Linked DNA regions of Arabidopsis thaliana. The protein of the gene in region 2 interacts with the protein of the main gene of each other region in a pairwise test. Each region holds a gene or a part of one and is shown on either strand. Other genes may lie near its edges.

Region 1 (3,836 bases), 1.0 Mb from region 2:
ATGTTACAACATGCATAGCTGTCGCCTTAAATAGCTAATAGAAATTGCTGGAAAGTAAAGTGTAATGGATCAGTGTTTTTGTTTGTTTGTCTGTATACTTACTTAAGCGAACACATTTAAGCAATTTCCTTGGAGAATGTAATTTATTGGCCTATACATGCTTCAGTTTCCAGATTACAATCTGCAGGATTTGGAGCAATTAAGTATATGTTGACGAAACTTGAGTTTATTTAACGAACATGCTGCTTTCATTATATGTTTCTAGTTCTATAGCGAAACACATACAGGAAATTCGCTGAGTGATCATTACATGTTCTGAAGAAAGAGAGTCATGGCCAGATGTCTGAGACGCAGCTAACAGCTTCACTGGATACATTACCAAGTCCAGGGCTTGAGTTCTGTCCAGAAAGTGTCATTCCAGGGAACAAAGATTGGTCACTGTGGACTGTAATGGCGGGCGAGGTATTTCCCGTGTAGTGCAGACTGCTGATGGAGTGTGATGGTGGACTTAGATGAGTTTGTAGAAGTTGATTCAAGCTGCTAGTGAGTGACCCTCTCGCTACCAAATCTTCTGCTAGTTTCACCTATATAGAATTTACTTAACTTAGCACATTCCGGTTATTACTTTCCCAAATTGAAAAGAGCAAGTGATAGATGATACCTTGACTCTCAGAGTTTCAACATCTGATTTGAGAACTCTGTTATTTGTTCCAGCGCTACGAAACTGTTGTGTTGCGTCTATGAGCTGCTTGTACAGTGTTGAGTTATCGCCTTTCAAAGAATCAACCTTGAAGAAAACACAAGGTCACCATTAAAACATTACTCTCTGATACAAATCATCCAACAAGCTATTTGTTAACCTTACCTGAGTCTCAAGATCTACCAAGTACTCTTGCTTCCTTCTCCTCGACCTCTTTGCTGATTCCCTGTTTGAGTTCATCCTGAATTCACATCACAGAAAAAGATTAAGAAGAATTGGTGATTCTCTATCTCAGTGTTTTACATCTAACTTTTTTATTGGTACCTAACATACCTTCTAATACGTTTCAGATCATTGGGATCATTAGTCATTTCAGATTGCCCTGCTTCTGTCTCGGCATCTTCGTCATCAGAGTTAACATGAGAAGATCCACTTGTGGTTCTCCTAACTCCTCCTCTTACCTCAGGTTTATTGGCTGACACTGGACTATCAGCTGACAGATTCTCTTTGTAGATAAGAGCCACACAAGTAGTGAACATTAATATCAACTGCAACAACACTTATTACTTACATGGAGTCAAATCAAAGAGACATGCACATACCGCAGATTGAGGACTGTGCATCGCGAAAAGGTCCAGCCGGAAACAATCCCTCAGACCACAAAAGACTATCTCTTAACTCACAAGTGTAATCCTACAACCAAAAGAAACTAGACTCTTAATTACTACAATATCTCTGGATCTTGATATAGACACAAGCAACAATGATACGAATAAGAGAGACAACAAAAGGACTAACCCGGTTCATGAGGTCGAAACAAGGGTCTAGAGGGCTTGTAGTGAGATACTCTTGTAGAGCCAGCTCAGAAGCACTTCTCTTCATACCAATGTCTTTAGCTGTGTGATTATCCATTTTCTTTGAATGTGAACACACAAGAAAGAAGAGAATTGGTTGGAAAAGAGAGGAGAGGGGAAGAGTAAGTGGTGATAGACATCTTCTTTATATAAGTCTCTCTTCTTTACTAAAGTTGTGAAAAAGCTTCTTAATGGCTAAGCAAAATTGAATTTGCATTGTCAATGCAACGTCCTCATTTCCAACTTTTTTTTTCTTTAATGACAACAATAACAAAAGAGAATAGAAAAGCAAAGCCACAGAGATGTATATTAGGCTCTGTAGTATTGGTGAATATTATGGTACCAATTATATGCTAATGATAACCTTTAATCCCTTAACTAGGGAGACTATCTAAGATAGCTGGAGACTCTTTCAATATAAATCATATCTGAATTCAAACATTAAGTTGTTTGTCAGCTCATTAATATGTTGGAGCTTTTGATTTGAAAATGAATGTTATAGGCATATATATAAGCAGCTTATATTCATAAAAGGATCCTAAAATATTTCGAAATAAGCTTTTAAATATTTGAAAATATTTAGATAATAATATTGTCACTCATGTACATTTGTATTCTTGGCACATGTCAAGAACCTTACACTTACATAAATTACTCTACTACATAACCTGTTTGAATTCGAATTTGAAGTACTTAACGACTAATTTAAGATTAATATACAAGGGGCATAGTCCAATGATGAAACTACAAAAACATTGAAAATGAATAAATTAACCTTTTACGGTAAATGTTTTACCGAATATATAATTTCATAAAACACTAAAAACTAATCTTCATAAATAATTGATAATATTTGAAGGAAAAATATTGATAATATTGTTTCAGTTTTTTACACCTTTGTATCATGTAGTAAAAATCTTTAAAATATTTATTATCATTCATTACTACTACAACACCAAAAAGAAAAACTTAAGAATTTTCCGGTCACACGAACAACACAAAATGCTTCGTCCTTTGTTTACTCTTACTTTTCGCCATATGCTTTTGGAAAGCAGATCTAAAAGACATTTCTTTCCTCCAGCACCAGAAATACTTTTTATTTCATCAACTTTTGTATGCGTAAACCAACTTTTCTTTCTTTTGATCTGCACTTCCTTTAAAAAGTTAAAATATTTCACAACAAAACAATAAAAAGAAACAAACTAGGTAATGTGTCTTTAAACAAACAAAAGTTGTTTAGATCCGAAAATAGAATCCAAAAGCATTTTAAAATTATTATTTCTCACTAACTAGAACTTTCGAACCTATAGTGGACTACAATGTTTACAATCTACCGACTACAGTACAATTCAGTAACCATAGTAACTAGTACAATTAAAATTCAATCCTTAGTGATGTTGAAAATTTTCATGTAATTTAGATGATGATTGATATACGTTTTTTGTAAGAAACGAATTTCTACTTGAGGCACATGCTAAATTTGTAAGTTAAAATACAGAAAATATGAATGAAAATTAGTTTATGAACACAAAAGTAATTTTTGTTTTCTTTTAGCAAAAAAAGAAGAAGTAATTTTTCTGTTTCTACAAACTCTACTTGTAATCTCCAAACGAGGTTTTGCAAAGAAAAAGAAAAGAAGATGAAAGGAATTATAAACAAAGGAAAAGAGAAACAAAAAAAAGACGTTGTTCTATGTCTAGTGATCACTAGAGTAGTTGGGGTGATTTAGTTTTCAGAAATTACTTTTCAAATCATATAACTGTGTTAGTATATTTTTTGGTCATGGGTAGATAAAAGTATTATAGAACAAACAAAAATTCTCATTTAAAATTCATGACAAAAACAAGAATTCTCGTGACCAAATGAATTTTATCAAAGTTTATGTGACCAAATAAAAAACACTAGAATCTTTAGTTTCAGTTTTGAGGGACCAATTGAATCTTTATTTGTTTTTTTTTTTTAAAAATTATTTTTGATACTATAATATTTAGTGTAGTAATTATATTTAGAATCTTTCTGGTTACAGATTTAAAATATTATTCCAGTAAAAGATCATGTATGACGTGAACGAGATTGAAGCTAGAGGTTAAAGATCACAAATAATAAAAGTTCATAAAAGCAAGGCCATAAGTCATAACAAGAGAAAATCTCCAAGTGCATTTATTAACAATCCGGAGGTTATGATATCATCGTCATGTACTATCAATAAGCATCATCCTTTAACCAAAAAAGTCATCTTGCGTCCTAGATTCCTAGTCTTCACCACCATTCGTAAAATCAGA
Region 2 (3,600 bases):
TCCATGCTTGTCACAGTGGACCCTTGATGCAGCGCCAGAGCTGCCTTTGTTGGCAAATCTTCCAGCGACCATGGAGCTTGCTGCCTAGGAGCAGGATATGTCACCTGGAAAATGATAAATGCTTAGAATTTTGAGAAGATGCAAGAATTATATAAACAGCTTTCCAGAAAAAGAAAAGAATTCGCGTTACCTCCTCCACAGATGGAGCAGGGCGGAGACGCTTCATTAGTTCATGATCAGGATTCTGATAATCTACTATACCTGGAGTTGCTGGTGGTGTTCTTGGTCGCTTCAAGATTGACACTTTTTGGAAGAAAAATAATAAGTTTTTGATGGAAACTGAAATGATAGTTATTGATAAGTCGAGGATTAGAAATCTAGAGGATCGTCAAAAACTAACTTTGATTCTGAGGTTGAGGCATCAAGGCAGGTGTAACAACGGCAGCTTGGACAGCAGAAGCACCAGAGGCAGCAGCCATCCAACTAGCTAAAGCACCAGCATTAGCAGCAGCAGGACCAGGTGGAAAGGGCTACATGTAATACAGATTCCACAAACATTAAGATTAATTTAGATTCAAAAAACATGATTAAAGCAGTCAAACATCGAGGTTTCTTACAACATGAGGTCCAAGTGACGGATAAGCTGCTGGCTTCGTCAAAGTAGTAACAGGCTGATTGACTGCTGAAGGTGCGAGAGGACCATTCGGAAGTGTGCAAGTGTGGTCTGTGAATAGAGTTTTAATATCTGGGTTTGGCCTAGGATTCTTGCACAACTGGTGCTGCCAATTGAGGCTGCAAGAGAACATATGCACAATGAATCATCCAACAACGAAGTCATCCAAACCTCATCTGCAACATACAGAATGGTCATGAGGAAAGAAAAAAGAAACACACCTTTGATTAATCAGAGTCCGCAGTCTCGAAGATCTCAAAGTAGGGAACATCAATTTATCACGAAAAAGTGGATTCGCTTCAATTAGTTTTTTAAGTTCGCCTAGCATTATGCCCCGAGCAGTTTTAGTGTCTCCATATTTTGAAAGCTGCTCATTTTCCCTGCAGATTCATGAAAATCATTGATGTCAAATTTCAATCCACAAAACGCAAACAATCGAGAGAGAAACTCGAGTATCACACCCTCTTTCACATCCAAACAAAAACAGTCTACAAAGCATCACGAACTCGACTTGGACTGAACCTAAACCAAGTCTCATATTCCTACTTTCCATAACAACAGAAACATCAACAAGGAGAGATCAAAATTCAATATATCATACCTAAAGTTTTGCAAAGTTAAGAGTTGAGTGATTTCTTTGTAAAGCTCCTCATTGAAAGTGGAGAAAACTCTCAAATCTTGCACTAGTATCTCAACTGCTTTTGCCTTCTCTTGCCTGTAACAACAGAGAACATCAAACTCTAAAACCACAAATCTTCAAGAGTAAAAAAACAAATAAGACAGCTTATAATCATACCGATCAAGAGCCTCGAGATACTTCTGCTTCCTAATTTCAAAGAAAATCTTCATAGAGTATCTGTTATCATCAACCTTAGTAAAACCTGACAAATACGTCTCAACATCATCCCATTCTCCAGCTAGAACTTTCTCATCAAAATACTTGGTATTGAAGAAGAATCCTGACTCTTTCTCAAGCCTATATTTAACAAATTACAAATCAGTCAATCCCAAAATTCAGCCTCTCACAACACAACACAAAACAAACCATATAAATAGACTAACCTGTGCACAGATTCCTTAAATTTCTCTTCCTCCAGAAATTGAAGTATCAGAAACACCAACTCTCGACTCAACGACGACATTCTCAACGAATCTCAAATCTGACGAGAAACGAAGAAGAGAGACGACGAAAGAAACACGAATCCGAGCTCTGAAGACACGAGCCCAGGTAAAGACTCTGATTTCGAGGATTTCTAGGGTTTTGAAGAGCTCTAGCTTTTAGAGAAAAATGGAGAGAGAGAGAGAGAATATATAAAGAAGGAGGAGAAGATTGGGGGATTGAGAAACTTTAGACCTCGCTTTCTTGGACGCGTTCTTCTTTGCACAGAGACATCGTTCTACCGACTTATCAGATATAAGCGGAGTCTTCGTCGGTGATAAGTAGGCTTCCTTATAAGAGAGGTAGGTTAAGTTATTATCAAATTGAGTGATAAGTTGATTTGGAGATAGAGTGGCGGATTCGAAAACAAAATTCAAATAGTGTGAATATTCTGTGCACACGTCCAGTCTGGTCCCCACATTTTTCTCTCTCCTTTATTATGTCGCTCTCAGCTTTCGATGCACTCTTCGTTTGGCTTTTCTCATATTATCCTTTTTTTCTTTTTCTCGCGATATTTTTGAGATCTCTTTTTCGCAAGATTTAATTAAGTGTTCGTGACAATTACAATGTGGACAATTCAACATCTCGCAGGTTACGTCATATATAATTATATATACTCATATTATAATCTTTGCTTTTTTTTTTAGGCATACACCAGGAGAATTACTCGTGTTCTCCATGGCGAAATGAGATTATTTATAAAAGAAAAACATAATATGGATTTAGAAAATAGATATTTGAAAAGAAAAATAATAAAAAAAGGAAAATAATATTTTTAATATTTCTTTTTATTTGATTTTTTAGGAAAAACATAAATATTAAAAAAAGACATATTAAATCTTGTTTTTTAAATGTACTATTTTTTATAATTTAAAATTTTTAATAACTTTAAACCAATAATATTCAATAATTTTTATTGAAGTTTACAATTTATCAATTATAACTAATAAGTATTGTATTGAAAACCTATAAAATTAATCTTTTTGAAACATTTTTTTTCTAGAAAATCAAATAAAAGAAACATATGGAGTATGAAAATAACTTATTAAGTATATATAAAATAAAATTTTATAGAGGCCGAATACATTAACTTTATTAGAATTAAGATTTACAAGTATTTAAGAGATAGAAAAAAATGATTAGGATATAACAATATGGTTTACATGTATATTCTTTATACGTCCTTTTAGTATGGAAGTACTCGTGTAGCTCTAATTTTGGAACTTTTTTTTTGAAATATTGATTTCGCTAAAGATTTAGTGAATGTATTTGCTAACTGATCACCAATGGAGACATGAGTAATCTGAAGCATTCCAGCTTGAATTAAGTGCTATATATATGGTTCATTCGAGAATAGAAAACCGGATTGGTACCGAGGTAAGTGGCACCAACATTTTCACAATATATCATATATATTCTTTATACCATTTAGAATTGTAAGCTTTGGTACCATATAGAGGCTAAATGTATTGACTTTATTTTAGAATGAGATTTACAGGTATTTATAGAGAGATAGAAAAGTGATTAGGGTATACTAATGAGAACAATACAATTTACAAATATATCTTATAAATTTAAGGATAAATGTCAATTTTCATTTTTTAAAAACACGATAGATACAAATCGAGGTTAATTCTTCAAAACCTAACTTAAGTAAAATAAGAAATTTGATACTATGTTTCCTAACTTAAGTAAAATTTACTTATTAACATAAATGTAGAAAATATTTTTAAATTTGTTTTTTTCTTGATAATTTAAGGATAAACTA

The links. Proteins that work in one complex are often made in the same cells at the same time.
Region 1: the proteins of TPR3 (region 2) and BZIP9 interact in a two-hybrid assay, tested with the Arabidopsis thaliana proteins (one study listed by BioGRID).

What each region holds. Positions count from the first base shown.
Region 1 is NC_003076.8:8,513,035-8,516,870, reverse strand, and holds BZIP9 (basic leucine zipper 9), read right to left. Parts: upstream 1,672-3,836; 5' UTR 1,613-1,671; coding exon 1,499-1,612; intron 1,394-1,498; coding exon 1,303-1,393; intron 1,206-1,302; coding exon 1,034-1,205; intron 942-1,033; coding exon 866-941; intron 788-865; coding exon 662-787; intron 585-661; coding exon 330-584; 3' UTR 202-329; downstream 1-201. Other genes in the region: AT5G24790 (transmembrane protein, putative (Protein of unknown function, DUF599)), read right to left, coding at 3,807-3,836. UniProt on the Arabidopsis thaliana protein: Transcription factor.
Region 2 is NC_003076.8:9,513,449-9,517,048, forward strand, and holds the start of TPR3 (TOPLESS-related 3), read right to left. Parts: upstream 1,960-3,600; 5' UTR 1,816-1,959; coding exon 1,736-1,815; intron 1,650-1,735; coding exon 1,470-1,649; intron 1,389-1,469; coding exon 1,275-1,388; intron 1,054-1,274; coding exon 895-1,053; intron 793-894; coding exon 618-792; intron 531-617; coding exon 401-530; intron 304-400; coding exon 191-303; intron 105-190; coding exon 1-104. UniProt on the Arabidopsis thaliana protein: Transcriptional corepressor. Negative regulator of jasmonate responses.